Pelodiscus sinensis: one gene and its partners. The protein of the gene in region 2 purifies or fractionates together with the protein of the main gene of each other region. This does not show direct contact. Links are inferred from orthologs where the notes say so. Each region holds a gene or a part of one and is shown on either strand. Other genes may lie near its edges. The genes, in order: AKAP11, VAPA, TACC1 and VPS13C.

Evidence for each region.
Region 1: the proteins of VAPA (region 2) and AKAP11 purify together in Homo sapiens (co-immunoprecipitation; 3 studies listed by BioGRID and IntAct, counting the BioPlex papers as one, with this or other methods). This does not show direct contact. The link is inferred for Pelodiscus sinensis from reciprocal best matches to the Homo sapiens genes VAPA and AKAP11.
Region 3: the proteins of VAPA (region 2) and TACC1 purify together in Homo sapiens (co-immunoprecipitation; 4 studies listed by BioGRID and IntAct, counting the BioPlex papers as one, with this or other methods). This does not show direct contact. The link is inferred for Pelodiscus sinensis from reciprocal best matches to the Homo sapiens genes VAPA and TACC1.
Region 4: the proteins of VAPA (region 2) and VPS13C purify together in Homo sapiens (co-immunoprecipitation; 3 studies listed by BioGRID and IntAct, counting the BioPlex papers as one, with this or other methods). This does not show direct contact. The link is inferred for Pelodiscus sinensis from reciprocal best matches to the Homo sapiens genes VAPA and VPS13C.

Annotation. Positions count from the first base shown.
Region 1 is NC_134711.1:284,842,202-284,849,882, reverse strand, and holds the start of AKAP11 (A-kinase anchor protein 11), read right to left. Parts: upstream 3,090-7,681; 5' UTR 2,899-3,089; intron 339-2,898; exon of another isoform or gene 1-338. UniProt on the Homo sapiens protein: Binds to type II regulatory subunits of protein kinase A and anchors/targets them.
Region 2 is NC_134712.1:85,505,114-85,513,290, reverse strand, and holds the start of VAPA (vesicle-associated membrane protein-associated protein A), read right to left. Parts: upstream 3,195-8,177; 5' UTR 2,757-3,194; coding exon 2,681-2,756; intron 1-2,680. UniProt on the Homo sapiens protein: Endoplasmic reticulum (ER)-anchored protein that mediates the formation of contact sites between the ER and endosomes via interaction with FFAT motif-containing proteins such as STARD3 or WDR44.
Region 3 is NC_134738.1:15,724,395-15,732,107, forward strand, and holds the start of TACC1 (transforming acidic coiled-coil-containing protein 1), read left to right. Parts: upstream 1-4,578; 5' UTR 4,579-5,053; coding exon 5,054-5,205; intron 5,206-6,004; coding exon 6,005-6,120; intron 6,121-7,713. UniProt on the Homo sapiens protein: Involved in transcription regulation induced by nuclear receptors, including in T3 thyroid hormone and all-trans retinoic acid pathways. Might promote the nuclear localization of the receptors.
Region 4 is NC_134724.1:41,480,212-41,487,954, reverse strand, and holds the start of VPS13C (intermembrane lipid transfer protein VPS13C), read right to left. Parts: upstream 3,478-7,743; 5' UTR 3,376-3,477; coding exon 3,276-3,375; intron 1-3,275. UniProt on the Homo sapiens protein: Mediates the transfer of lipids between membranes at organelle contact sites. Necessary for proper mitochondrial function and maintenance of mitochondrial transmembrane potential.

The DNA of each region.
Region 1 (7,681 bases), on a different chromosome or scaffold from region 2:
CAAAGCTTACAATGCTAGGAACCATTAGAAAGGGAACAGACAATAAGACAAAATATCACGATGCCACTATACAAATCAACCTTGATAACTGCGGGCACTTAACCCCTTCTCAAAAAAAGGCACATGAGATTTGAAAAGGGTACTCAGAAGGGTAACACAAATGATATGGGTAATGGATCAGCTTTCATATGAGGAAAGATTAAAAAGAATAGGACTATTCAATTTAGAAAACAAATGACTAATGCAATTATAATACAGGTTGATAAAACCATAAATAGTGTGGGAAAAAATAGGGAAATGTTATTACCTCTTCTCATAACCCAAGAATGAGGGGTCACCCAAAGGAATTAACAGGCATCAGATTTAAAACAAGTACTATATATTCTTGTCCATAAGCTGAATTTTTCTGGTAAAAATGTGAATCATCAAAGAGCAGAGGTTGGCTTATCAATAGGTCACTGTTGTCATTGCAGATTCTGAGTCAGCAAACTTTGACTCCCGGCCCGTCAGGGATAACTTGCTGGTGCACTGGGGCATTTTGTTTACCTGGAGCATCCACAGACACTGAGCATTGCCACTTCCAATGGTAGTAGCTGGAAATGGCAGTCAGCACATCCCTTCACCTACACCACTTCCCATAAGATAAATCACAGCCACTTGGAGCTGCAAGGCTTCTTGCCTACAGATGCTCCATGTAAACAAAATGCCCCAGTGCACCAGCAAGTCATCCCTGACAGATTGGGAGCCAAAGCCACCCTCTGCAATATAAGATTGGCTTATGAAAGAGTCCATAGGGTTTTGCCATTTTTAAACTATCCATTGTGGGAATGCGGGCGGGGGGAGGGAGAGGAGAGTTGGCTTATAAACAAACAGGCTAATGAACAAAGTATACATTGTACTTCCTCTCACAATGGACTATCAACCTATGTAACTCATGACCATGGGCTGCTGAGAAGGCCACAAATATAGCTGCTTTAGAAAAGGAGCTAGTTAAATTCCTGAAAGATAGGGCTAGCTAAGTGCTAGTTAAGTTTCTGAAAGACCATCAATAACTATTAGCCACGATGGTCAGAGATGGAACCCCATGCTCTGGGTGTCCCTAAACCTCTGAGTACCACAAGATGGAACAGGATAACAGGGGATGGCTCACTTGGTTATTGCCCTGATCTGTTCATTCCCTCTGAAGCATCTGGTACTGGCCGCTGTCAAAAGACAGGATACCAGGCAAGATCCACTGATGTGACCAAGTATGGCTATCAAGTTCTTATGGAGTATCAGCAAAAGAACCCCAAAAAATACTTATTATTTTGCAGTTTTTCTGAAATGAATCAATAAAGGTAAGCAAAAATAAATATTTTCCTACCCTAATACACACATTTTTAAGCAATTTTAAGGAAAGGCAAATGTTTTCTTAAACCAACAGACTTTTGTTGATTAATCTGTCAAAACTTCAGAATTACCATCCAAAATGTTGGGAGTAGGATAGCTTCTGGATATGGAACTTCAGATTATCAAATAAAATATTTCTGAAAACATTATTCAGTGGCAAAGAAATGGTCCACTAGCTTAATTTGTCTTCATTAAATTAAGGAAAATTATACAGCAGAATATGACAGGGTAGCTGCAACAATAAGGCCACAAAAATTATGCTCAAGATTAAAAGTTATTTGCCAGGGATGCATAGAATTCAGAAGATAAAAGGATTGTGCCATCACAAGTAAATCAAATTGGGAAGAAACATTCTATTTTCTTTGCTGTCCATCCACAATAAGAGTAAGTAACATCACTAGTTTTTTCATCAAGTGAATGGTCTTCTAAATTTAATTTAGGGCAGTGAAATTTCAGGAGAGATGTACAAAGCTGATACAGCATGAATAGTTAGCAGCATAAGGCCTAAAAGCAAGACATGAAAAATCCACTTGCCAATTCATTCATACTGCCTTGAGATGCTGACCTGAGAAATGGGTCCAAATCCACCAATTTGCCTATCATTTAGGATCTCAAAAACAAGCTTCTATTTCCATTTGTATTATGTCTATTAGCATATCTAAGGGCTATCCTTAAAGTTATGAAAGAACCTTTCAAATGTGAAGAGACACAGTGCTGTCCTCCTGAGTCTGAGATGGACAGCTCCATTGCCTCTACCACCACTGGTATCTTTCCCAAGAAGCAGCATAGTGAAATTAAGAAGACTATTGTCATTTTTATGATGCTCCCATTTTATTACAAGAATACTCAAGAACTCCAGTCAGGAGCCTAGTGTTGGATCCTTTAGGCAGAAGTGAAATTGGCTGCTTGGGAAAGTTAGGGTGAAGCCATGAAGCAGCCACTAGCACTAAGAGGGATCAGCCCACAATAAAAGAGAACTGCAGCCAAATTTGGGGGGGTTGGAAGCAGGGAGGCGAACGGGCAATTGGTTACACGGTAAGCATCACCCTTAATGATGTGATGCTTATTGGGCAACAATTAACCGGTCCCTGGGAGCAGCGCTCCACCCACGGCACCAGCCCAGCGGGCCAGCAGAGCCCCCCCGACCACCAAATAAATGGGTTTCAGCTCCCCACCGGGAAGAGACCGCAGTGCTGAGCCCGCTGGACCGGGGCGGCGGGGGGGGGGGGGGGGGGGGGGCTGCAGACGCCCAGCAGCCTCGCACGGGCCAGTAGCCGGACTGGGTCCCGGCCACGCACCAGGGCCAGCGCGAGGGAGCGTGTCCCCCGAGCGGAAGGGGGGAGGCGGCTGCGGAGCGCTCCAGGCGGGGAAGCGGGAACGATGCTCCTCGTGAGGCGAAGGGGATGCGAAGCGGCCCCGGCTCCCGTCCCGCAGGGAACTGGGGGCGCCCCCCGGTCGTTCCCCCCCCCAAGAGCCTGCGCCGCCCGGGCCGGAGGGGGAGGGGCGTACCTGGGTCCGCAGCGTCCTGCGCCCGCAGCCATGTCACACCCCCTCAGCGCCCGGCCGCTCCCGCTCCAGCCGCCGCAGCGCCCTGCCTCCGCCGCGCTCGCGCGATGCCCACCCAACCCTCGCGAGGCTCGCCGGCGGGGCCGACGGGCTGCAATCTCGCGCACAGCCCCCGTGCGCAACTAGGAGGGCGGCCGGGTCACGTGACGGACGGCCTCGGTTCCTATTGGGCGAGCGAGCCGATGTGGAGCTAGCGAACGCGGCCCCGGGAGGGAGTTACGCGCGTGTGCGCGCGCCGCTCAAGTCAGGCGCTCCTGGGAGCCGCGGCCGGTTCAAGGCGCCGCTGTGCAGACGGGCCCCCCCACGCGCGGGTTGGGCAGCCACGCCCTGCAGCCTGGGCAGAGAAGGGGCGCGCTAGTGCTAGGCGGCTGCTCCGCTGCTGGTTCCTGATGGCTCCAGGAGCTTCTTTCGTTGGAGCCGGGCAGGCTGCAGCCGGGTCTGGTGCATCTGGCTCGGGGGCCAAAGTGCCCCTGGCAAGAGTTAACTCCCTCCCCCCGCCCCCCAGGCGGGTTAGCTGTCTCAGCCCCACTTTGCAGGCAGGTAGAAGTTGGTCACTAGCTCTTGCTCCCAATTAAATTAATGGGAAGGCGGCGGCAAAAACAAGTCCCATCAAAGCCCGCCGAGCCTGTACACAGGGAACGCCGAGACCCCGAGAGGCTTCACAAACAACGGAGCATTCAGAAGAGCGAACCTGTTGTGTGCCAATCAGCAGAGTCTAAATGTCTCGCACACAAACGCTCCCTTTAGCCCTAGCCAGGCTTTTGATTTCTGCGTTCAGCTGCTCCTGCCCCTGAATTGAGGTATCCTGATTGGTAAGCACGAAATGTAAAAAGCCCAACGTCTTTTCCATATTCTACTAGGGCCTGCCCTGACTCAATAGAAAGAGGCTTAATGATGTCAGTGAAAGTTGTATCTTGCCCCTCCTACAATGACAATAGGAAACAGAAGATTGGGAGGTATATTTCCAGGGATGCTCAAACTGAGGCAATGACTGCACAGTCTCAATCCATGTTCCCAAAGTCAGGCCCTGAGAACTCGTCTCTTTATTTCTCTCTGACAATGTTTAAAGTCAGTGCTGTACAGTAATTCCTCATTTAACACGTGCCCGTGTAATACGTTTTCACGATAGCACGATTTTTTTTGGAACGTTTTTTGAATTACATGACCGTCCCCAGAATAAGAAGATTTCCCCAGCCGGCTCATTGCTGGTGGTTGCGCGGGGCTTCCCCAGCCTCCCTGCAAAGCGGCGGAGAGTTTGCCGCTCGCTGTGCTGTTCCCCGGTGCCCCCCCCCCCTCGCTGGATGCAGTGCGGGTCCCAACGGACCCATCACAGGGGCATACTTCCAACCCAATCCCCCTCTCCTCTCCTCCTCTTCCCTTCCCCAGAGCCAAACACCTCCCCTCCCTGCTGTAACCCAGTTCCCTTTCTCCCCCAATCTTATGTCCCGGTCCCAACAGACACCACCGCTTGAAACGCAATTCCCACCTTTTCCATTATTTTCAATGGGAAAATTGATCCTGCATAACATGTTTTCACTTAACATGATCATTTTCTGAAACATATCTATAGTGTTAAATGAGGAATTACTGTACTTACTCCAAGCCTAATGACATATTGACCCTATTATAGATTACAGTCAATATCACTTTCAGGTTCTCATGCACTGTTATACAATACTACCAGGTGAGGCCTGCTTCCATTACTCTTTCCATAACTAATTTGGATTACTTTGTGATTTGTTACAGTAAACATTTTCAGTGAACTAAAATGACAGTAAAATGGGCAACTTGATTTTAATTTTGTTAGCAAATATTTTTATGAACTCAAATAATAAAAGTCATGACCTTTTTCCAATGAAAACCGAAAATAATTATTTAAAACTTTCACCCAGCATATTCCTGTGTAAAAAGTAGTGCATTCAGCTCATTTAAATGGCAGGACTGTTTATGCAAAATTTGGTATCTGTAGGTAATCACAAAGTGACATGAACAGGAGTGCTGACCAGCACCCGGTGACTAAGGTGTTAACTCAGGAACCTAGGGAAGGTGTCAGCCAGGGGGCCAAGAGAGCTATTGGGGATAGAGTTGAAATTTGAATTGGATCTAGGACCCCTGGCCTGCTTTTTTGTGTGTGTTTGTGTTCTGCTCCCTCCCCCCCCCCCCCAAATTCAGGGCATAGGAGCGGACTGAACAAAGAGCAAATTAGAAGTGAGTACCAGGGAAATGTGAGTCCAGTCGTGTTCAGGGTAATTTTTCTTTATCGTGTGGTTTGGTTTGAACGGTTCTGTGTGAATCTGTGCCTCCCTTCCCCATTTACTACCATCTAAGCATTGTGCCAGAGTTTTTTTTCTCTCTGTTTTAATTCAGTTTCCACAGTTGCTCTATAACATCTAGCAACCAAGTGTGGTTTGTCACGTTTATCTTTTATTTTGTAATAAAAATCACTTCTTTTAAGGTGATTATTTTATTCTTGTGTCCTGGAAGGTCTGTCTGTGTGTTTCTGCATGTCTCTGACTGAGGAGTCAGCTACCAGAGACTACAGCTTATTCTTCTCTCTTCTTTTTCAAGCTCTTTTGGGGCAAAAGAACTTTTGGGATACCCCTGGGAGTAGTTTCAGGTGTTCACCACTGTTTTTTAAGGCTCAAAAAGCACTTGATGATGGCAGCAAATTCCCCAAAATCTGTGTGTTAGGATTCTGGGGGAAAGTTTTGTAACCAGTGCCTGTAGAAGCAAGGTTTTTGAAGCTCTCTTGCGGGACCCCACCTTCTGCATTTGGAGTGCCAGAGTGGGAAACAGCCTTGACATGAAGTATGACTTTATTTTGCACAAACAAATCTACAAACAAACAAACACTTCAAAATATATAATAGATTTGTATATAGTGCAAGGACTCTTGCTCTATTTTCTTTTTTATGTGTATTAAAAATAGTGTTCCAATTGGATTTATTTTTCATTTTATGGACATACTGATTTAATGCAGAGTTTACAGAGACTCCCCTATCATGTAAGCAGCCTATGAGCAGGAACTCTCCCCCAGAACACAACACAAGCACTAGTAGGAAGAAATGACAGGAAGTAGAATTGTTTGTTTAAGCGCTCTGAGCAGGGATTCTCTGAGAATACACCGAAATGAAGGACTCCCCCCAAGATCCCCAAAGGTTGGCTTAATCCACATTCCTGAGACAAAGCCAGCCTGGCAAGTGAAGACCTACAGAAACAGCTACATCCGTGTGGCTGGGGCCACCCAAACATACCCACAGAGCTTGGGTTGACAGAAAGAAGAGACAACTTCTCAGTTGCTTTCAGCAACAAAGATGATACCTTGTGGTTCTGCTATCCAGGAAAGAACCAACTACTCAGTCATGTGTCTTCCCTTATACCAAGGTACCCTAAAAGAGTGACTGTCGTGCCCCCCCATACTTTATGCAAATTGGCTTATGAATATCCATAACCTAAAGATGCTTTTGGCAAAATGCATTCTGACATTTTTAAAGTTACAATTCGCTGAATGTTTATATTCTAATTCTGTGTCATGTATCATTCTTGTATGGCTAGTTAGAAATATATAAATTGTGGATCTGTTTAAAATTCTAGATGGCCTAACGAGGGCCATTAGTAATATTCCAGAGACATAATGGTTTTGTGCATAAGTTAACAACCTGTGAATGGTTTTGGTTTTGTTGTAAGCCCAAACTGTGGCTGGTCCTATAAGGACATGTGGCCAGACCACCTGATGCTGGAAACCATTTGGAATCTTGTACTTTGCCACTTGAGGTGAGAAAAGTTTGAAGAGATCACAAAATTCCCACCTTGGGCAATGAGGTTATTAAAGTGAGACATCAAAGCAACAGGGGGAGTGGCCAGACACCAGGAGACCACCTGTCCCCACTTACTATGCAAGTTGCCTGCTGGAAAATCTAATACTGAACAGCGGAGAGGTTCAAGAAGGCTGTCGAGTTTGTGGAAGATCATTAGAATAGCTGTTAAGGTCAGAATTTGCATATAACAAGTTTCTTAGTGTATTAGAATTAGCTGGTGGGTTCTTTTTATTTTGTCTTAGTACTTTGATCTGTCTGTTTTCACTTGCAATCACTTAAATCCTACTTTTTACACTTAATAAAAAATACTTTTGTTTATAATCAAGCCAAATGTAAATAATTGTTAGCTGGAGGGGGGAGCAACGATTCTGCATATTTCTTTTTCATTGATAAAGGGGACTGACCTTTGTGAGCTTTCACCGTGTAAAACTTTTATACAGCGTAATATGGATTTATTGGGGTTTTGTTACTCTTTGGGGCTGTTTGTAGGTGCTGTCAATGGTCATATAGCTGAGCTGGTTCAGCATCTTTTTGAGGGCTGTTATCCCTACTCTGCCTTGACTAGGGGACACCAGAGCTTCTGGCCCAGCAGGACAGGATGGTGCTGTGTCCCACAGGGGCAGGTAGGTGGGGGCTCAGTGACATGACCAGCACACCGGGTAACAGACTTAAAAGGACCCCCTTAGGTTAAACCCATCAGTGACCTGTCCATTTCACAATGATACCCTGCTTTCCTGCTTCAACACACTGAGCCTTGTGGGGAGCCAAGAGTTTCACCGGCATTGTTTTTGTACTCATTTTGCGATTAGAACAATTTGAAGGACAGTTTGCTGTTTTGGGGTACATTATTGTTTCACTATACTTACTAGTGCTTGATTTCCATACTTTCTCCTTTCATCCATGGTTTC
Region 2 (8,177 bases):
ATGGTTCACTGGATAAGACCTCTAACTAGAAGGCAAGAGACCTGGGTTGTACTCTCAGCATTGCCTGTGGACCATTCAGGAAATCACTTCAACTCTGTGCCTCAGTTTTCTCAATTTATTTTTAAAAATTATTATAATTATACAAATGTTAGAAAATAAATCCTTTGGGGGCAAAACAAAAACTGTTTTTATTCAGGACTCTAAAAATCCTAATCTGGGTGTCTGGTGTGCACACGTATTTGACGTTAGCAATGCTATATGAATCAACAACTTTCCATTCACCCATCAAAAAAACTTCAGCAAATCAGTGGCAACCATAGTAACACTCTATTCTTTTATCAACACAATATAATTTTGCCATATTAGATTTCAAACAGAACCTATTTGAAGGTACATTATCATCAGATTGCTTAATTGGTATAAAGGAAAATATATCACTTAGTCTCCCTCCACCAACTTTCTAAGTTATTTCATTGGAGAAAGTGTTTTGTTGATGGTCAGAACAATGGGCAATTAATATAAAAGTGTACATAGTGGGATGGCATGTAGAATGAGCTAACAGATCCACTGTATCTGAAATGCACTAAGTTTGGTCCTTCTATACAGACACTGAAAGGCCCTACTTTGCTTCATACTCTTTAAATATCCCCTTCCAGAAAAGCCTTCCCAACATCTATACTTGTCTAAATAAATTTTAAGTTTACACTTAATTCTTACAGCTCCCATTCCAAAGGTGCATACTGAGCCTATTTGTTTGCTTACTCATATCCTTCCTATACACTTTGAGTAAGAATCATCATTGGACTGCAATCTCAACAACTCTGTTTATACCCTGTAAATGTTATGTGTTTTGGGCTAAAAGAGACATTTTAGGACTAGGTCAATACACATGCAATTATAAATATTAGCTTTGGTGTGACATGCATCTATGCTCATTCTACTCTTCTTGTGAGATGTGAAATATAAATACAGTGCAGTCATTCTCCAAGACCACGTACAATTTTGGGGCCTGCTACTCTGAGAGAAACTTAAACTAATAATGTTTTAACAATGTATAATCAAAAAAATCTACAATTTTGAGTGTAACTACCAAAAAAACTAAAGTAATTCCTGAGGGTTTATTTTAATTGACTAAACGGGTAGAGAATAATTCAAAGCTCTGAAATGAAAATCAGTTTGGTATAAATCTGTCTTCTCTGATAAGGTTTAAACCTTGTTGAAAAAGCATGGGCTATCTAAAGTTAGGAACACAGTTACCTTCTGTAAGGTACAAGATCACATTAGCTTTTTCTACTTGCCCATTAAAGGGTTCTACAATTAAACTTTCAAAATCTCTCAAGAAACACAAGACTGTCTCGGGACCCAAAATACTATAAATAGAAAATGAACCTGAAAATTAACACAGTTAAAAGTAAAAAGTTAAATACAAACAGAGTAAAGGATTAGCTAAAAAGTATAAGAACTGCCAATACTATTTGAACAGCTAAGGCATTTGTATTTATGCAAATAGTCTTATTTATAATTTCTCAACATTAACCGTAACAATTTTGTTTCCCAGTAAATGCTTTACCTAATAAATGTTCCACTTAATGCCCTTTGTCAATCTGTAAGCACTGAAACTTACCACATAATTATGAATACCCACCCCCTTCAGCACAACTTGTTTTTGTTTGGTTTTGGTCTTCATCTTCTAAGGAGCCTGTCTTCCTAACAACTGAATGTGCGTCTATCTACTCAGAATACCCCTCGCTATTAAAGTTAGGGTTTATCAGGAACAGTGTATTTAATCAGCTATTTTAAGGGAACGGTTTTAAGCCAAACAGAATAAGACTGCATAGCTGGAGCCATACAAATAGCTGACACATTACCAAAAAGTTAATGAACTGCCTACCGACACAATCCGAAGGTTTCACCTAAAAGTGATCTGAAATACGCCAGCGTCGTATCATCTGCCTCCCAAAAGGGTCAAACTCCATCTGGGAAAGGAGCGTGCCATAGCAGATCCTCTAGCGATACCAGCGGATGGTGCAAAATAGCACCACTCCCTCCCCGCTACTAACCATTGTTAACAGCTGGCCTCAGCCCAGCCGCAAGCAGAGCGCAGCTACGGCCAGGGCACAGATTGCAGAGCACCTGGGGACCGATCTCTCCCCACACACGCTCCATCCCCCGGACCGCTCTTCCCTGCTCCGGGGGTGGGGGGGGCGCACACGCCACAGAGGTGTCGGGGGGAGGGAGAGCTCTGGCCAGGGCAGCGATGCCAGCGCAGTCCCGGCCGATGGAGGCCGGGCGATGTGGGAAGGTTTAAGGGCCTGCGGCTCAGACGTTCCCGGCATGAGAGCGGAGGGTCCCGGCTCCCGGCCCGGCAGTATCGGCTGCTGCGGCACCTGCCGCTTCTCCCCGCAACCCAGCGGCCTGGAGCCGGAACCGGGCCCGAGGCGGCGGCGCTGGCCATGCCCGAGACACACGATTCCCTGCGGGAGCTCAAGATGGCGGCGGCGGCGGCGCCGTGTCCCGGTCACCGGCTCTGGTTCCCCACCGCGCAGGGAGACCGGTTCGGGCCCTGCCGCCGCCGCCGCGTCCCTCGGAGAAGCCGGGGCCCACGCGGGGGGCGACCCAGCCTGCCCGCGCCACCCCGCAGCCCCTCGGCACGAGGCAGCCCGGCCCGCGCGGCCCGTACCTTTGAATTTGAGGTCGGTGGGCGGATCGAGCACCAGGATCTGCTCCTGCTTCGCCAGAGTCCCAGCGGCCGCCATCTCGCTCGTTCGCTCGCTGCCTGCCGCGGGGGGAGGGGCCGGGCAGAGGCGCCGCTCGCTCGCTCACGCCGGGGAGGGGGAGCAGCAATGGGCTGGGGTCCGGACCGAGCGGCCGCCGCCTCGTTTCCCCCTCCGCGGGCGCGCGCACGCGTGCTCCTCTAGTTCCCCCCCCTTTTTTTCTGTAAGAATTGATTCACCCCCCCACACACACACGGCGGCCGCGCGCGCACTGCGATCAAACGCCAACCTCCCCCCCGGGCACGAGGGCTACGACGGCAGTGGCGGAACCCAAGTGACGCATGCGCGCGGCGTCCTCTTCTTTCTCCCTCGCTCCCGCCGCCGTCCGTTGACAGCTCGCTCGACTTGGCCTCGCGAGCCACTTATCAGTCAGTCACACACTGCCTCGGCTGAGGCAGCAGGGGGCGCGTAATCTAGACGACTCAGATCGCGAGAGCGGTTCGAGGGAAATGAAAGAAGGGCGCATGCGCACCGAATGGCGATGGAGGAAGCGGTGTTCGACGTGGCCAAAGTTCCGCTTCAGGACTATAATCCCCAGCATGCAACACTCTGATGGTGTTGGAAGCATTGCATGCTGGGAATAGTAGTCTTCAAGGGCTATATCAGTGCGCGGCACAAGGGTGGGGTGGTTGCCATTGGCTTCTCCTTAATGCGATTGATGTCTGAGAGGAAGAGAGGTGAGATCCGCCCTCTGCTGAAGGTAGAGCTGGATGGAGCAGGTTAAGCGTTTGCTTTAGGAAAAGGTTTGTAGATAGAAAAATAACCTCACTTTGCTATAGACACGTGCACTCTGGACCTCTCTGCCTTTTCAGTGGCCCAATGTAGACCAGGTTGTGCTCAGGGGGGCAAAAACTGGACTGTTTCAGTGTTGGGTTGTAAGAAGATTAGCCCCATTCATACCAAAGAGTGTCCAATATCCATGATTGAAAATGAGAAAAACAAGCCACAATTTATTTGTAGGTAGAAAGCTGGGAAATTCACTCCCTTTTCCTGACTTTAAACGTGAAATAAATTTCTACAAAGAAAATGTATTTTCCCTTTCATTCTCTCTGTTGCCTTCCCCGCTCTCCTTTCTAAGGTTTGCATTTCTACTTGTTCTTTAAAAATAATACTCTTCGTAGGTAACAAGACAAAGGATTACATTATTTACAAACAGTATAGAAGAAAATATGACCTAATCTAAAAGTTATTAAAATAATGTGAACTGTAATCCATTCAAATCTTCCCAAAGGAGATGAGGACTATACTGTACATGTTACACGTGGAGTCGATTGCTCTTTTCCCCCTCCCCTTCTCCCCTCTCCCCTCTCCATCCCTAGGTACACTGGCAGAAAATGTCTAACTAAATGAGTGGAAGGGCAGCAATGAAAATGATAGGTCCAGCAAAATTGTAACAAATATCTTGCTTGAAATCTAGTGAAAATATCATAGGAGCATTAACAGGAACAGCACAGTCATATTTCAAACAATATTTACTACTAATAATAAATATCCATCAATTAATAATTTACAATTTTTGCCCTAAGGGTTGGATATCTCACCCCAAAAGTCAATTTCCCACAAAGAAATAGGGTGACAATTCCAAATGGAAAACTGACAGCATTCCCCCCCTTCTGGGTACTGTGGTTTAGCAGGCGAGGGGGAAGGGAAGGGAGGAGGAGGCAGGGCTTAACCTAATTCCATTAAAATCAATGCAAGTTTTGACATTGACTTCCATGAGAGTAGAATTGTGTCCTATCACTAGTTCTAAGTGCTGATGAGCAAAATCGCAAAATACTCTTGTTTGGTTGTGACTATATAGTTTATGTTGGTAAGTCTGATGGTGGAGCTTCTGTATGACGTGAGCACAAGAATGATCCAGATGGTCCTAGCAAAACTATTCTGGTGCTGTGTGCTGTCCAGTACTAATTTTATATTGCTCCAAAAACAAGATTCTAAATTGTTTCCTTTTCTTTATTTATACAGGCAGTCCCCGGGTTACGTACAAGATAGGGACTGTAGGTTTGTTCTTAAGTTGAATCTGTATGTAAGTCGGAACTGGCATCCGGAACTGATCTGGAAGCGCCACGGGTCCGGCCCCGGGTCCTGCGCTGCTTTGCTCCCCGTCTCCCTGGTCTGCTGGCTCCCGCAGCAGACCAGGGAGACGGGGAGCAGCTTTTCTCGCCCCGGAGGAGGCGGGCGGCGGGACCAGGCGTCCCGCCGCTCCAGTCCTCCGGGGCGAGAAAATCCCCGTTCGTAACTGCGAATCCGACATAAGTCGGATCCGCATAACTCGGGGACTGCCTGTAGTAATACTGTATATATCAAGTTGCCTCCTGATTCATGTCTAGTGGGAGTTTTCCACTTTTTCCCTACATCCAGGATATGTCTTTCTCCCTCAGTTCTAGTTACACAAAGACTGGTAAATACAACTATCATCTCTGTCATGGTGTATTATTTTTCTCTTGTTCACATTGATTTCCCTTTTATTCTTCTTTATATTCACTAGCTCCACTGTAAGCCGTTCCAAAGAGAAAACTAGCCCCTCTTAGTCAGCTCAGAATTTTTGTCATATCACTGTCTTCTTGAAAGAGCCTCCCAATTAGTCAGATTTGTCTCTATTTGCAGAATTTTAAAGGCCTAACTTTTTAAGGACCACAAGTTGGGAATAGCTGTAAAATTTCAACTGCCACAGGCTCTTCCATTGGCATCAGTCTTCTAAGCTGAAAACTACCATTGGCACAATTAAGCCCTTCATTTTTAGTTTGGATTTAAATGGTGAAATAATGTCAGTAGTATCTCATAAAACTGTGGGCAGGATAGACATTACTGCAAATTTTTTCACAGAGCCATGAGGGCTGCATCAGGCAAATTATTGAATAGGGTAATTTGCCTATAGTCATAAATTTGAGTTTCTGATCTAAACATCCTGGTAGTTGCAGGGATACAACATGGAACTGAATAAACACTGGTAAATGGGTGTATGCTGACACAAGTCTAAGAGCAGCTGGCAACTGGGTGGGGATTTTGGGGTGATGATGGGGTATGGGTGAGTGAGTGGGTGCTGGACTAGTTAGAGGTACCAGGCTATTTATGAGTAGTGGACTTTCTTGTGTAGTGAGTATTTGCTGATTGCTAGTTGTAGGATGAATTCTGGGTCATCAGTGGCAGCTGCGGATCGCAGGGATGTTTACATGGAGCAGAAAGGCTATTAGAGATAAGAGCATTGGTGGTGCTCGTCCACTGGGTAGCATCTGAATCTGTCCTTGTGCTCAGCTTACAGGGAACACTGGTAGCAATCACCCAGCAGGAGTTGGAGGAATCGCAAGGGCTGGGTCCCATAAACAAGGATCAGGCCATTATCAGAGACCCAGAGGTCTAGAGGCAGGAGTGAGAGTCAGGTTGGAGTTGGAGACTGGGTAGGCTGGAGCAACAAAGCAGGAGAAAAGGCTGGTCACAGTCTGTGGTTACAGAATCAACTTCCTGGGTCAACCCCTGGGATTAAATGAGTGTTTGGCTAATCGTAGGACCCCAGAGTACTGTCACTCTGGATCGCCTGAGCAAGACATTCTGCTGTGCCTATAATCCATAATAGGCTATATACCTATGCATGAATTCTCAGTGGCAATGAGGGAATAGCAACTGTTCTAGGCTCCGCAGATGCAGGTTTTTGTTCTGGGCTCTTATGACTGAGGAGTGAGTGCTAAAGTATGGGACTATGCTATAGGGCTGTCAACTGCATGAGTGTTACACAAGATTTATGATACTTGGCTCTCTGCAGAGTGTTCCAAGAAGAACATGTTAAATAGGTAAAGAAAGATCCATGCATTGTATCAATTAAAGTAATAAGAAGACAAGCAGACCAGTATCAAGATAACTCAGTTGGCAATTGGAAGTCTAAGACTTTGTCTTTCCTCACTTTTTTCTTAAAATGTCTCACTTTGTTACTACTGGCTCAGCTCCACTACTATTGTAGCAATGGTGGTTAGTATTATTTTAACCATCATGTCAAGCTCTGAACAGTGTTAGATACAAGGGTTAAAATTACTGGTGCAGGAGGCCCCCGCTTTGCGACGGCCTGATTTATGACCCCCCCCCATACTTCCGACCTTTTCTGTAAGTGTGAAAGAGGCTGAAATCCCCTAACTTATGTCCTCGGCCCCGCATTTACGACAGCGTACGATGCCTGTTGTAATTGCGGACTTGAGTTATGATGCCCTTGACTTGCGACACTATCTCTGGAACCAGTCGCATCGCAAATCGGGGGCAGCTTGTAGTTGCTTTGTCAGAAAATGTTAAGGGAGTAAGTTCAGGGTGGACATAGTCTTAAGGGTGACCAGACCAAAGCTTGCAGTTCAAATAGATGGTTTGGACCAACCTTCCGACCTCCTTCATAAATTCAGAAGAGCAACTTGAGGCTAATGCTGAGTCTGAGGCAGCTAGCATGAGAGAGCTAAAACTGGAATTCGGTTCCTGCTCTTTTCACCTTAGTAGAGATGAGCAATTTGTTACACTAGAGTCTATCCAAACCAAGGGTGGGCAATAAGCACTCTGTGGGCTGGATGTGGTTTGCCAGGGTTAGCTTCTGGCAGGCTGCTGGCCATTTTATTTACCTGCATCTCCACAGGTATGACACGCACAGCTCCTGTTGGTCATGGTTCACTGTTCTTGGCCAATGGGACCTTCGGGAAATGGTGACTCATAGCGTCCATTGGCCGAGAACAGTAAATGGCGGCCAACGGAAGCTGCAAGTGAACATACCTGTGGACATGCAGATAAATAAAGCATCCAGCAATTGTCCAGGAGCTAACTGTGTCTGGCTCAAAGACCACTTATTGCCCACCACTGATCCAAATCCTCACATTTCTAACAGTAAATAAAAGCAGTATTATATAGCAAGCAAAAGACAAAGTAAATAACAGAGGGGTAGCCTTGTTAGTCTGAATCTGCAAAAGCTACGAAAAGTCCTGTGGCACCTTAGCACTTGCACCCTCTTTCAAGAGAGGGATACAAATGAAGACATTCAAAATTGCAAATGGAGCCGGGATTTAAATATCCCGCTCTTCATTTGTGTAATTGCATTATGGCGCTATTTCGAAATACAAAAAGTGGTGTAGATGCAGTTATTTCGGGAGAACGCCCTTCTTCTGAAATAACTGTTAAACCTCACTATTGTGCTATGGTAAAAATAAATAAGCATGAGAAAGACTGGTTTTAATCAGGTGCAGAAGTTGTTGGCCAGTATTAAGAATTTGCTAATAATATCTAGAAAAGGAACATTACAGGTAATATATTTGCTGTTAATTTAAAATTCAGTCAATATGTTGTGGGCCAGTGCCAAGGTTTCTGTAATTTTCCAAGTTTGGTTTGTTGCAAATGTGGTCCACGTTTGCATTTAACTAGTCATAGACTAGGCTGGCAGGT
Region 3 (7,713 bases), on a different chromosome or scaffold from region 2:
AAACCATCTTGTTAGTCTTTAAAGTGCTGCACAGTCCTGTTTTTTGTTTCAGCTACACCAGACTAACACAGCTACATTTCTATCAGCGTTTTGCAAGGGAGTGATAAAGACTGTGCTTACTTGCATGCTTTTAATAAGCAATCTTCCTATGACAAAGGCACCCATTTTAAAACGCAACAGAGCTCTGGTGTAAATACAGCAGCATGGCACAAAATCCGGCCTGTTTGTTCTGTGAAATCACTAGCACCCTGGAGAGTAAAAACACCATCACACGTCTTTTTAAACGCAACGTCCTGAATGAATTGTGCCCCTTGACTGATGTGTAAAATACCCAGTTCTGTAGAGCCCTGCAGATCTGCAGATATCTACTTAATCTACATGGTATCCGCATTGGCAGGTGTGAATGCAGATATTCACGACTCATTTTTGTGGATGCGGATACAATTTTTTTAGCTAGAACCCTGCAAATTTGCAGCTCCCCATGGGTGCAGATACCCACGGATCATTTTTGTGGTGGCAGATGTGGATGCAGATTTTGTACCCGTGCTAGGGATGTGCATGGTTAATCAGTTTACGGGTAAGCCTTACCCTTAATGGGTGAGGCATTCTGGTTCCAGTTAACCAACGGGGGCTGAAGCTGTGGACCAGGGCTGCTCTGGCCTCCCGGTGGGAGCAGGCTTGATTTTGCGTTTGCAACATTCAGCGCTGGATTTGCTCTTCCAGCAGCCCGGGAGCCTTGCCCGGAGCTTAGCCCACAGCCCAGCCTACAGCTGATGGTCATGGCCAGGATCGGGAAGGAATCAGATTGGCAGAGACCTGGGTGAGTTTCACCTTCCGCTGCAACATGGAGCACGAGGCACTTGCTGTTCAAGCCTGTGAAACAGGCGGATTCTCTGTCACCCGCGTCTTTAAATACAGCTTTGAGGGTTTCAGTGACTCAGCCAGAGGTTCAGGGCCTGTCACGGGGCGGGGAGAGAGTGTGTGTGTATAGGGGGGTTCTGTGGCCTGCAACGTGCGAGGTCAGGCTGGATGATCCCAAATGGTCCCTTCTGACCTTCCAGTCTGAGTTTTTGAGCAGCCGCGGGAGAGATGCGACCTCGTTCCCAGGGCTTCTCTTGTGCAGGGAAACGTTGGGCTGCATCTCACGGTTCTGCCACCAGGCGGTGCTGCCTGCGCGGCGCCTTGTTCCAGCTCACTCCCGGGTCAGAGGGAAGAGCTGGGCGCATCGGAGCGGGTCCAGAGGCCAGCCACAGAAGTGCAAGGTCTAGAAGCCAGGAGCCAGGCCGAAGGGCTGAGAGAGCCGAGCGTGTTTGGTGTAGAAAGGAGAACCCCGGGGGGAGGGGGTGAAAGGCTTCAAATATGTGAGCAAATTACCACGGGGATAGCGGCCGGTTGCCGGCCACGGCCACGGAGGGCAGGACAAGAGGTAATTGGCTGGATCTCAGGACAATCGTTGACGGGGCCGAGGGAGGTTGGGGAATCCCGCTCCGAGGAAGGTTTTAAGAAACGGTTGGACAGACGCTTGTGAGGGATGGTCTGGGCTCACTCGGTCCTAGCTCAGCGCCGGCCGATGGAGATGCCTACCAGCCCTGTGAGTCGATGAAAATGAAGAAACTTTTCCTGTTAGAAAAGCCTGAGCAAGGTACAAATGAGGGATGGTTGCCGAGCCTTTCGGTGCATGTGAGGCTCGTGCGCTGCCGGCTTCCTCCCCGAAAGCAGCTGGACCGGACGGTCTGTACAGATGCTGCGAAACCCGGGATGTTAAATCCCGTGTAATTACTTAACCGGATAAACGTGCGTCTGCGCCGCCTGGGGCGCTGGGTGTCCACAGCTCCCCCGCCGGTCTCAGGCGCGTTCCAGTTTGATTTCACCGCCCCCGCCGCTGCCTGCTCCTTCCTCTCCTGTGGCTGACGGGAGGCTCCTTTCTTGGCAGCACTGACTGTGCCGCCCTCACAATAGAAGGATGCTGTTCATTTCCTCCTCCGATTGGCTCACGTGTCTCTGATCCCCGTCCAACAAGTGGAGGGTTATACAAACGTGCTGAGCCAGATACTTCCCCTTTGCGGCGGACTTGGGTTCCTCCTGCCGACCGCCCGGCCATCTTGCACTGTTCAGCGTTCGCGGCGGCGTCTTTCCGCAGAGCCACTGGCCGAAAAGCCAGGTTGCCGTGTGCTGGTTTTAATGCAGCCCTGCGATCGCACGAGCGAGGCCCCTGCACAGACAGTGACTGGGGAAGCCTTGGATGGGGAGGGGAGAGGGGGAGTGTTCAGCTTCTAGCCTGCGGCACAAGAGGGCCCTTAATGCCATGTCACAGCTCTCCAGATCTGCTTCTGTAAAGATCTTCCCCCAAATCAGGTTGTGCTCTGCAGCCCATACGCTGCAGGGGAAAAGCGTGGGCTCCTAGTCCCTCTCCAGCCCTCCAGCAGGGAGGAGGGCTTGGTTATTAAAGCAACTGCTGGGAGTCAGGGTGCTTGGGTGTGCTCTTTGACTCTGCCACCGATTTCCTGTGTGACCTTGGACGAGTCACTTAACACCTCGGTGCCTCGTGGGGTGGCTGCATTCACGGTGGTGTGCAGACCACGTGTGGCTAGTGCGAGTGTAAATAGTGGTGTGGATGGCAAGACACCGCCTAGGCCAGGCCGCCTGCATCTACCCAGCAGTTTTTAGCACTGCGTGTCTTGCTCCCTCGGCTTTCGCTGCAGCTCGTAGCTGCTCGGGGGTGCCCGTACCCCGCGCAGACGTCGCTTCCGTTTCCTCACCCCTGAATAGCAGCTAGTTCCACTGTCCTGCATCGCGGGCGCTCCCGCCAGAGGCAGTGTGTCCTGCATCGCGGGCGCTCCCGCCAGAGGCAGTGTGGCCCTGCGGGCAGGGCACGAGGCTGGGAGCCAGGAGACCTGGTTCTGGTTCTGGCTCTGCGTGACTTCAACGAGCTTCCCTCTGGTCCCCAGTGAATGGAGCCGGGCTCCCAGGGAAGTGTCGGAGGCAGGGGGTTGGGCCAGTTGCTGACTGGGTGCTGTGGGGTGCAGCGGGGGGTGGGGGGGAGGTGGCCCCGTGCATGCTTGTGGCATGGCTGTCAGACCCTCGGGCTGTTCTTCCCCTGGGCGCGGCTCAGCCCCAGAAACAGCCAGTGGCCCACACTGCAAAGGCCCCTTGACACCCCTGTAAGGGGGCGTCCCTGGCACGCGTGGGCTGCAGCACCCCCTTCTCTTTGGCATGGCGGGGAGCTGCAGGGGCCGTGCTGCCCTGGGGTGGTTAAAATGCCCCTTCTCGAGAATGCTCAGCTGCGTGGATTCCAAGGCACCCAGAGAGCACCATGCCACGGAGCCTGCCCGTCAGTCGAGGGGGTCCTGTCTGTCCCTGGGTGCCCCCCAGGTCTCCGAAAAAGTGCTGGAGCAGGACATGCAGACTCGGCAGCTGAGCCAGGCCCAGAGGGGTGGGAAACCTTGTGTCCTGCAGAAGGGGCGTGGGGCTCGTGGCTGGGACAGTGGCCTCCTGAAAGCCAGGGGGCTGTTTGTCCTGTTTGTCCAGCTCTTTGCGTGGCCCCCGCTGTATCACGGAGGGTCTTTCTATGGGATGTCGGAAAGCAGCTGGTTAGGTAACTGTAGCTGGTAAAAATCGTAGCGGTTACAGGCTGGGGGTTCTGCGGTACCAAGCTTGTACCTCAGAGCCCGCGGCACAGCCGGCTCCCCGGGAGCAGGGCCGGCAGCCAGCGCGCACTGGGAGCCGGCTCCCGCTGCCAGCCCCGCCCCCAGGGAGCCGACTGCCCTGCTGCACAAGCTTGGTACTGCAGAGCCCCCAGGCGTGAGGCAGCAGCTGGCTCCTTGGGAGCTGATGTGCCCCAGGAGCTGTCTCCTGGCCCCACTTCTGGCTCTCAGCTCTGCCCTCAGGGAGCCTGCAGCGCGGGGTGGCAGCCAGCTCCCCGGGAGCCAGCGGGTAACTGATGCATTGAGACGGTTGCAGTTGCAGCCCTAGTCCAGGCGCTGCCTGAGTCCCGGCCGAGCTGCCCGGTGCGTTTCCGTCGAGTTAGGCTGCAGCGGGCGAGAGTTGAACCCCCACCCGGGAGGCCACCCCTCTGCCTTGTGCCCATTGCCGCGTGGGCGCGCTGCTCCCCGGCCGGACCGGGCATGTCTCCCCCCCGTGCCAGGCCAGGGGGACCGGGCCCCTGCGCGCACCTGGGAGGTGTTCGGAGGCAGCCCCCGCTTGTGGGCGGCAGGACCCTGCTCTGCAGGGCTGCAGTGGCCCCCAGCGGGCAGCGCCCCGGGAACGGCTCCAGCAGCACACGGGGCAGAGAGGCCGAGGATCTGATGCCTAAGGGAAGCCGGTGGGAAAGTCCAGCCCAACTGCAGCCTGAAAAAACCCAAGGGCATCTCCACGGGGTGCAGCCCCCCCCCCCCCCCCCCCGCACAGAGATAAACAGGGAGCCGGCCGGAGGGCTGGAGAAAGCCAGTGATTACTCACTCCCAGAGCCGAGACTGTTGCTAAGGCGGCTGGGGGGGGAGTTCCTTTGAATGCTCCTCTCCCCTTCTCTCCGCCCGGGCTTGGTAACTTCGCCCCCCCGCCGCCTGCCCGCCCCCCCGCACGTCGGTCCCGGCCAGCCCCCCTGCCGCAGGGGAAGCGCTGCCGGCGTGCCGAGGCTGGAGGCGCGGAGACGGGCGCCCTCCCCGCCGGCGAGAGTAGTACAGTCCGAGGGGGAGGCTGCGGGGGAATGTACAGTATGTTTCTGGCAGCCAGCTGATGCGGGGAGTCCGGGGCTGGCATGCAGCGGCGAGGGGCGAGGTGGCGGAGCCGGGGCTGCTGAGGGCTGTGCCGCGCCGGGGCCATCTGGGACGCATTGCTGCTTTTCCTGTCTCGGCGACAGGGCGGGCAGCAGCTGGGGGAGTCGCCGCAGCCCGGCAGGCAGCCTGCCCCGGAGGAAGCTGCCGAGGGCGAGGAGCCGATGCTTCGCACTTAACCACATCCGTGCCTGGGCTCGAAATAGTCCCAGGCGTCGGTCACCGCTCCCCTCCATTTTGAAAAGCCTCCCCGGGCCGCCGGAGCCGGGGAAGCTGCCCTCATGGCGTTCAGCCCCTGGCAGATCCTCTCCCCGGTCCAGTGGGCCCGGTGGACATGGTCCGCGGTGCGGGGAGGGGCAGCTGATGGCGGTGAGGACGAGCGAGAGATGGAGGAGGATGACTCACAGGCAGAGACCAAATCCCTGAGTTTCAGGCAAGTACTCGGCATCCCTGCTCTGCAGGGACCTGGCGTTTGCATGGGCCTCTCCGGGCCTGGCGGGTTTGCACGTGGAACGGCCCTCCTCGCACGGCGCAGCCTCCCGGGGCACAACCCCCCGCCGGCTCCGCATTTGTGTTGCTTGCCAGCCTCCCCCTCCAGCGCGCGCTGACTGTTCTGTGCGTGGAATCCCCAGCATTTGCATCCGCCTCGGCCAGCTCTGCCCTGCCCTCCGGCTCCCCGCGCCCCGTGGGGGGCGTTCGCCAGGTGAACCCCCGGGGCCGGCGCCCCTTCTCGAGAATGCTCAGCTGTGTGGATTCCAAGGCACCTGGGCAGCCAGGAAGCTGTGCCCGGGCTTTGGGGCAGGCTCCGGGGCACGGTGCTCTCTGGTCTCGCACTGGGGAGAACGCGCAGGTCAAGCCTTGTTTGCTGAACTTCCCAGCACCCAGGGCAGGTGCCGCAGCAGAGGAAGGAGCTGCCCAGGGCTGCCACGTCCCCTGGGTCAGTGACCCCTGCTGAGGGCCGGCGCGACAGGTACCCAAGGATCAAGGTGCTGGGTGACTGATCTCTGCCGGATGGGCACCCGGGGCGGGGAGGGGCTCCAGGGAAGTTTCCAGGAGAATTCACTGTGGCCTGGTTTCACGTTTGCCGTGTCAGGAAGGACTCGGCCGTGGCTGCCAGCTGGGTTGATTTGCGGGTCGGCCTGGGAGCCGGGGCCCAGGCTGGTGGCAGTTTGGGGCACGCCGCTGAGCTTGCCTGGAGAGTGGTAATTCTTCATTCTTTCCCTCGTTGGCAGCTCGGATTCGGAAGGCAATTTTGAGACCCCTGAAGCCGACACGCCCCTCCGGTCACCTGTCAAGGAGCCTTGCGACCCCGCGCTGGGACGGGACGCGGCCGAGGCCGGGATCCAAGGTAAAGAGAGGCCCCGCGTGTCTGGTCTCATACTCGGCTCCGGATGCTGGAAATGGGGTGGGCCGGGGAAGGGAGGCTGTTTGCTTGGGCAGTGCCTGGCCTGCATGGTTTAAATGCAGATGCTCCGGGTTATGCACCTGCTGCCAGGGGCCATTTTCAGCTTCGTGCAGGGTTGATTTATTGAAGAGCTTTCAGGGGCCCTGACATGTGACGGAGTCGGCTCGATTCCCCGGCTCCCGCCCCAGCTGTTGTGCAATAGTTGGTCCCCCCCACTAGCCGCAGGGCAGAGATAGCGAGCAGGCAGGAATGTGACAGCGCTGCCGAGATGTCTGGAGATCTGGTGTTTGGCTCAGGCCAGCGGAGGGCAGAGCCTGCAGCCAGAGGCGGCTCGGCCTGATGGAAAGGAGCAAAGGAGAGTTTCAGATTTTTTGCATTTTCCAGGTGCCCTCCCTAACGTCTTCCTGAAAACCTGCCTGGGCTAGGCACTGACGTGTCTGCCTGGCTCCCGGGGTCACTGCTCTGGCGGCTGATTGGCGGGTGCTGTAGGGCTCACAGGCCGCTTCGTCCCGCGGCCCCTCTCGCTGCCGGCTGCAGCTGAGCTGTTGCCCGGCCAAGGGGAGGTTGGCACTTGCGGTGGCACGGTGCAGAGATGACAGGGGTGCTGTTTGGACATTTGGGAGAGACTGAGTCATGGGTGAAGGGATTGGAGTGCCTCATGGGCGTTTGGCCAGAGAACAGAACCACAGCTGGGCAGCCTGACCGTCTGGGCACGCTGAGCCCGGCTCCAGGCTGCCAGGTGCAGATGGAGGAAGAATTCTTCCCAGGAAGATCGGGTGCCTGCTGCTAAAAACTGCCGCCTGAGCCGGAGGTCCGCGCCCGAGCGAGCTGTCTCCTGGTGGTGTCGCGGCCCGAGGGTGGGTGCCGTGTTCCCGGGCTGCACTGCGGGACTTGCCGCTGGGGCTGCAAATCTGGGAAGCTAACCGCTTGCCCTGCCGTGGTCATGCCCCAGCTCTCTGAGGGTGTGTCGACACTACAGAGTTAGTTGGAACTAGGAGGGTAATGTAGGCATACCGCACTTGCAAAGGAAGCCCGGGATTTGAATTTCCCGGGCTTCATTTGCATAAGCGGGGAGCCGCCATTTTTAAATCCCTGCTCGTTCGAACCCCGTGCAGCGCGGCTACACGCGGCACGAACTAGGTAGTTCGGACTAGGCTTCCTATCCGAACTACCGTTACTCCTCGTGGAATATTGTAGGGGCGAAGCAATCTGTGTTAGGAGGCTCTATCCATCGCCCTGTCCCCGAAACGATGGCTGTGAGTGCTGTGCTCACACGGCTACTGGACCGTTTAATGCGTCCATTAAACCCGCCTCAGAACAACGTGTCTCGGGTCCCCGGGAGGCTGGGAGCAGGGGGCATGGGACAGACGCCCAGGAGCTGCCCGGCGCTCCATGGAGTAATCAGGAGTCAGTGGGGTGGCGGGTACGGTAGGCGCGGGGAGGCTTTGCCTTCCCAAACCGCCAGACTGGCTACGCCCCCAGAAAGTACCATGCTCCAGGGCAGGGAGGCTGGGGCCGTGTGCTGGGCGGGGGTAA
Region 4 (7,743 bases), on a different chromosome or scaffold from region 2:
GACTTATGCTTTAAATACAGAGTTGCGGGGAGGCGGAGGTAGGTCCTGCATCTGGCATATTAGGAAATGGGTGGGCAGGCAGGCAGCCTGTTTCAGTTTTGGTTTGCACGGGGTCTGGAAGCTCAGCTCCTCCCTCCAAACAGAGGCTGCTGCCACCCTGCACTGCTGCCTCTTGATCACAGGCAACAGCACAGGGTGACAAGCAGTTGGTCCGTAAGAGAAGCTGGTTTTTAAACTGGCTCTCCTCGCAGTCTAGCTCCCACCTGGCACCCTATGCTGCTGCCGGCCCCGCCTCCAGGGACTACAGAACAGTCGACTAAGCAATAAGAATTCATGAGGTTACCTGACTATTCATTAACTGATATTTAATATCCTTAAGTTCAGTATACTGAAACCTATTATTCATAGCCTTAAACAAACTTCAAAGAAACTACTACTGCATTGCTGATACCGTCGAAATTTACAAGGCATTTCAAGAGACATTGATGCAAGGCAATAAAGAAGTGAATGGATCAAACACTAATTTTGCCTCATTTTCTTGCAAACATTGTTAACCCCAGATAGAAAGGTAGATGCCTAACTTTTGAAAATGGTAATGTTGCCATGGCATGTACATCTCAAAAATCACTTCTCAATTATGAGGGTCATAATAAAATTTCAGTGCTGGAGTGAAATCATTTAATCAGTATATGTTTACCGACGATGTTGTGAACAAAGTCACTCCCCTGAATTGGTGGAAGTCATTAGCCAGGCACCTTCCTTCAGTTGCTAAACCAACTTTTCACATCAATAATTTCCTCTTCAGTGGGGAGGTTAGATAGTACTTAACTGCAGGAATTTTAGCAGTTACACAACTATTCAATAGTCAGCAGAGGCAGCAGCCAGTGTGCTCTCAGCCCCACTCCTGAGGAGCCCATTGCCACTCCATGCAGAGGCAGCAGTACGGATAGCAGCAGCCCGTCAGTGGTGATGGGGGAGGCGGTCCAAGCTCTGCTGCCACAGAGCAGCCTTTGCCCAAAGGGAACTCAGACACCACCACCCCATGGACAAGGGGTGCTTGCTTGCAATGCAAGCCCGAGCTGTTGAGGACAGAGGCTGCATTGTGGCAGCCTCTCCTCCACCCCCACCCACATTGCTACCTCTGATCAAGGCATCAGCACTCCGAGGCAGGAGGCATTGCAGAGCTGGTCTTGGGGGGAACTGACTTTTAAGCCAGCTCCCCACAGTACCAGCTCTTGCCTGTCTCTCCCTACCCACTGCCTCTGCAGGAGGCAGCAAGGGGAGGGCAGGTGGGTCCACAGAACATACTTGAAAGCTGGATTCCTGCACGTATCAGCTCCCGCCTGCTCTCCTCACCCTCTGTGCTGCTGCCTCTCTATCAGAGCAGTGCAGGGGGCAGGGAGAAGTCAGATCCAGTGCTTGAGGGGAGCTTTAAGGGGGGACTGCAAGTAATCCACAAGCTTAACTGATAAGCCCAAACTTATCAGTTAATTGTGTAGTATACACGTTGACATCCCTACTCTGCAGGCAGAGAGAGAATATTTTCATTGTATGATATTATTCACTCACAGCTAAGAAATCAACTGGGAGTTGAAAAAGCAAGGAAATTTAAATGTTTCAGTCCATTTGGCAGTAGGTGGAAGGAAGATGAGAACTAGTCGTATAAGATGAGAGCTAGTTGTATACCTTTTGAGGGCAACGTACATTTAGTGTTTTGCTGATTTGTCTGCTAAAAATAATAAAATTTGAATATTTAAAAAAGTTTAAGGACAGCCATCAGCTGACTCAGCTGTCTGCAACTGAAAATATGAAACTTATGTAACATTTAAGATTTAATTTAATAAAATATAAGAGCTATTGTGTTTGCATGTGAGATTTAGTTCTTACCACTTCCAATGCATCTGTAGTGTGACACAGGTAACAAGTATTATGTACTAGAGGTTAAATCTCCCTTGTCCTGGACTCTCAGGACCTGACCAGCCCTGAGCCAGGGAATTTGCCAGACCAGACAAAAATCAATGCTAGCCCCTCCAGTATCCCAGGGTGCCAGTCCCCCACTACTGGCTCCTGGGAGCCACTCTTTCCTAGTCCAGCAACGCTCCTGGCCCTAACCCACCAATTGACTTCTCCAGCATTGGAGTCCCCCTGGGTCACCAAAGATGCCAGACCAGGGTTGTTGCCAGACTAGGGAAATCCAGATTACAGAGGTTCAGCCTGTATTTCCTAAATTAATTTAGGAAATTCCTAGAATATTGGCTACACAATACTGAGAGAGACCTAGGATGCAAGTCAGCCTGGACAAGGGAGTGCTCTTTTGGTGGGGGGAGGCAGGGTCACTTGAAATTTTTGTGATTTCTAGTGTAATTGACCTGGGCAGTAAAACAGACAGGAGTGTCTTCCTCTGTAACTCCATTATTGTATAACACTACAGTAGTACTTAGATTGTATTACATTGGTGAACTCTAATGAGGGAACATATCATTCATCTACCAAAGTCTGCACTGTCATAAGCCACTCCAGACACTGCGGTAAGTCATTTCAGGCGTTATTACAGTAACGTTTGTGTTCAGTTCTTCTAACCACCAAATTCTTCAACTGCACCAGCCAGCAACGGAGACTTCCGCCATCTCCCAGGCCATTTCCACACATGCACAGCTCTGCTAATGCTCCCCTTAGAGCTGATCTCACTGAGCGCCTTGCTGCAGCCCAGCCCCACAGATCAAACAACCCACTGGGAAAAGCCACCAAAGCCAGAAGCTGCTTTTTGGGAGGCTTCCGGTATCTGGCCGCTTGTGACTGACTTGCGATATCAAGTCCCTCTCGCAGCGGGGGGGGGGTCATTCTGGACCCCGCACCGAGCCCCCACCCGAGGGGCAGGCAGAACCAGACACCCCAAGTCCCGCCCGTCTCTATCAGTCCTGCCCCTGGCAAAGCCCGAGCCAGGCGCTCGCTACCCCGAGGCGCCCAGGCAGTCGCTGGCTGCCCCCTGCCACGAGCCAGGCGACAGGGCAGAGCCCGCCTCGGGCGCTGTCCAACGCTGGAGCAGGCAGCGCGGCCACAGGCCCAGCCCGTGCTGCCAAGGGGGAGGGGGGCTAACGGCCGGCGCGGGGGGCTAACGGCAGGGGGCTAACGGCCGGCGCGGGGGGCTAACGGCAGGGGGCTAACGGCCGGCGCGGGGGGCTAACGGCCGGCGCGGGGGGCTAACGGCCGGGGGCTAACGGCAGGCCACGCCCGCGGGGGGGGCGGGGGGCTCGCGGGCGCCGCCCCGCGCTTACCCCCCCAGATGCCCAGCTTGAGCTGAGACTTGTCGAGGTTCTCCACGTAGTCGCCGAGGAAGCGGTTGAGCAGGTCCGCCACCACCGACTCCAGCACCATGGCGGCGGGCGCGGGGAGCCTGCCAACGCCAGGCGCGCGCCCGGCAGCGCCTTGATGTCACGTGCCTGGCGCCGGAGGGGGCGGGTCCTCGCCCCAGCCCCCGCAGCGCGACGGCGCCGCGGAACCGGCGGCCCTGTCACTCACCGCGTCGCGCCTGCCTGGTTGGTCCCGCCGCGCGGGGGAGCACGGCAAGGCCCCTCCCCCTCCACGCGCCGGAGGGCAGGGTGTAGCCCCGCCCACCCTGGGCAGCTGGCAGCCAGCGCGCTCCCACCCTGCTCCGAGGAGCCTCTGCCTGGAGCCGCTGTGCAAGGGGATCCAGTTTAAAAACCAGCCCCCCTCGTGATCCGGCTGCTTGTCACCCCCTGGTGCAGAGGCAGCAGCGGGGGGGGGGGGGGGGGGGGGCAGAAGCCCTTGTCTGAGGCAGGGCTGAGTCCCTGGGTCCAGCGCAAGGCGGGACCGAGCCGGCTGCTGCCCATCTGGCTGTGAATACACTTGACATGAAGAGCCACAGCAGGAGCAGGGCCCGGACCTGGTACAAGCCAGGACTGAGCCAGGCTGCTGTCCAGCCTGCTAACAAATTTCTTGGTCAGGGAGAGGGAGGGAGAAATGGGAGTCGTCTATAGCATTAACCTATAAGTGTTTTACCTATCGGTTAACCAGTTCGTCGGTTACACTATTACATCCCTAGTGTACATGTTTTAAGGCAGCCTGTGTTAGTTCCAGCAGCTTAATGCTGGTGAGGCTTAGTGGCATTGTCAAACCAAGAGTCAGACTCTGTAAACAAAGTCCCTTCTGCGGGGACAAAGGATGGGCACCTTACTTGCTGTCCCCTCTAATGCCTACTATATCTAACACATTTGATTGTCTATTTTAAGGGAAAAAAAGGACAAAAGTATTTCAGACAAACCATCTCACAGATCTTCATATATGGTTACATATCATGCCTGCATGGTTCTTGCCTGTAACCAAATGATTAACTGGTGAGCCCAGATTAGGCACCAAATAAGCAACATTCCTTAAAATGGACACATGGTCACTACAGGCAGTCCCCGGGTTACGTACAAGATAGGGACTGTAGGTTTGTTCTTAAGTTGAATCTGTATGTAAGTCGGAACTGGCATCCAGATTCAGCCGCTGCTGAAACTGACCGCCAGTTCTGACTTACATACAGATTCAACTTAAGAACCCCAAGCGTCCCCAAGTCAGCTGCTGCTGAAACTGATCAGCGGCTGATTCCAGGAAGCCTGGGGCAGAGCAACTCTGCCTCGGGCTTCCTGTAGTCAGCGCTGGTCAGTTTCAGCAGCGGCTGACTTGGGGACGCCTGGGGCAGAGCAGCTGGGGTGCTGCTGGGTTGCTCCAGTAGCACCGCTCCTCGCTCCTTGGCGCTACTGGACCAACCCAGCTGCTCTGCCCCAGGCGTCCTGATTCAGCCACTGCTGAAACTGACCAGCAGCGGCTGAATCAGGACCTGGGGCAGAGCAGCTGGGGTGCTGCCAGGTTGGTCCAGTAGTGCCCAGAGCGGCGCTGCAGGACCAATCGGCAGCGCCCCAGCTGCTCTGCCCCAGGGTCCACAACAAAAGCCTGGTCTGCTGGGGGGGGGGCACACTAGCTGCACCCCCACTCCAGCAGACCAGGGACACGGGGAGCAGAGCCACAGCGGCAGCGGGGTGCCGCGCCTCTGAGGCTTTGCTCTGGCAAAGCCTCAGAAGCGCGGGAACCCGCCGCTGCTGCGGCTTCAGCCCCGGTGCCCCTGGTCTGCTGGAGACGGTCTCCAGCAGACCAGGGGCACCGGGACCAGCTTACGAACGGGGCTTTCTCGCCCCGGAGCTCGCAGGCAGCAATCCGACCTCTTTACTTATGGTAGGTGTGGGGAACTTTTTTGTGTCTGGGGCCACTGGCCCACAGAAAAGTAAGTTGGGGACTTCTCACACAAGTGAGAAGCAAAACAAAAAACAAAAATCCCCAGCCCTCATGGATGTGGTCCCTGACTGAGATACCTCAGTCCTCTGGCATTCCGGCCCCATGGGGCGAGGGTAAGAGAAGGGAGAGGGAGGACTGAGGTTCTGGGCTTCCCATTGGCCAGATTTACTTTTCTGGGGTTCTGGAATTAGTGGATTTTATGGACCCCCTTAGAATCTGGGGTGGGGACAAAAATGAGGGGTTCTGTGTGTGGGACAGGGTTGAGAGTGAGTAGGATAGGGATTGGGAGCAGAAGCAGGCTGGAAGTAGGGTCTTCCCATTGTGGTGGCACTCCTCCATATGTAGCTCCATGGCCTGTGCCGGGGGTGGAGGTTTGTTTTCTTCACCTCCCTGCCTGCTGGCCAGAGCTGGTGGTGCAGCCTTATGGCTGCACACCAACCACAAGGCTGCAGCAGCAGCGAGGGCTCCCCACTGCATGGGAGAAGAAAGGGGAAGTGAACTCCTGCCACGGACCACACTTTGAGAACCAGTGATCTAGAAGCACTGAAAAAGTGTTTGTGGAAATAATGAGAATTCACCTTCTATCATGAAATCTACACCCATTTTAACTGAATATTACAGGGACACAAAGTGGCAGATTTTATGAGTGCAGGTGGTGTATCTGCTCCTTGTTCATATAGCAGGCCAGCCATGAGCTGCACGTTAGATACTCCAAAAACCCATTACTCTCTTATCCCTTAGCTATCGCTTGCAGGGAGTTAAAGTAATATGTGTGTTGAGGCATACAGAAGAAAACCAGCCCTGCCCCAACTCACTAACGGTTTTAAAAATAAGAGAAAAGATAAAGGGTGGGAGAAAGATACAATGCACTAGGCAAATGGTCAGATTGCAGATTGGATGTATTACTTACATTTGATTTTTTTTTTTTTACAAAATATACATCTCAGTTACATCTTTGTATATCATTATTAGTTGATTTACTTGTAAACTTAAGGTAGAGATGAGCCTTCTGGAGGTGAGAGTTATGAATAAATGTGAGCATTACAAAGCTGCTCGAGGTGGAGTTTTTTGTGGGTAATTTGCTAGATTTAAAAAGCAAACCTCAAAAAACAAAGTTCATCACATGGATTTATATTGACACCATCTGATTTATCAACACGGCCAGAAGCTTTTGATCTGTCACACAAACTAATGACTCTTGAGCTATGGAATAACTAACAGCTGTAGTGGGGTGTCATTCTCTATCTCGGGGTGGGTAATAAGTGGCCCAGACGCAGTTCACCCGAGATTATTTTGACCATGGGGGCTCTTGCTGCCTTGTGCAGCCTCAGCTGGCTGACAGTGGGAGCCCCACTCTCTCTGCCTCAGGCTGCCAACATCAGAAAACCACAAAAAAGTAATAGTGGACTGAGTTTCACAGCAAGCTACACTGGGAAAGAATATGCAATTATCCTAAATGTTTATCTAGGGAAATGAGCTGCCACGATTACTTCATATAACAGGTAATGGGGAAAACATCATGCCTCTTTCTCTTACCCTCATAAATTCTGCACAGGACAAATAAACATCTGCCTTTTTATTTTCATTGGTTAATTTACAAATACTTAAAAACAAATGATAACCATATTTCATCTTCACCTATATAAATTCCTTTTACTGCTACTAGACTAAGCAGATACTGAATTCTGCTGTGTGACAGGAATACATGAAGTCTACAGTCTAACCCACTTCTTCTGTACCAGATCTTATATGTTTGTGTAGCATCTAAGGCTACGTCTACACTGCAGAGTTTTTGCACAAACACAAAACTCGCAGAGCGTCCGCACCACAAGCGCATTTTTGCGCAAGAAAAAGTACAGTAGATCATCAGAAGGTGGGGCTTTTTGCGCAAGAGCTATTCCTTTTTCTACAAGAAATAAGCCTTTTTGTGCAAGAGCTCTTGCGCAAAAAGGCGTGTGTGGACGGACAACAGGGGTTTCTTGTGCAAGAAACCCCTATCGGAAAAAGCACAGGTGCTCTGGTATAAATTAACATAATGAAGTCAACTAGAAATTAATATTTGGGAACAGCGATTGTGATAGTACCGAGATAACCATAGCCTGTGAAAACAGAAAGAAAAACTTCAGAAGCTGGTGAAGAATTAATAATTACTGTTAAGGGTACTGATATGAAGGAAACAATTAACAGAGAAATTCTAAAAAGATAGTTTCAGAGATGACTGTATTAAGCGTTGTTTCCATAATGAATGAAACAGTCATCAGAGAACGAGAATATGAGCATTAATTTGAGCAGACAATGAAACGTATGGTCATCTACATCTGTTAGCCTAAGTCCAGACTCTACCTCTCATCACAAAATGTTCACTTGTAATCACTTGCATGGTGGACATGAATGCTTATGTGACCAGAGTTCCTCGGGTGAAGTTTTCTAGATTAGAAATGAGAGGGA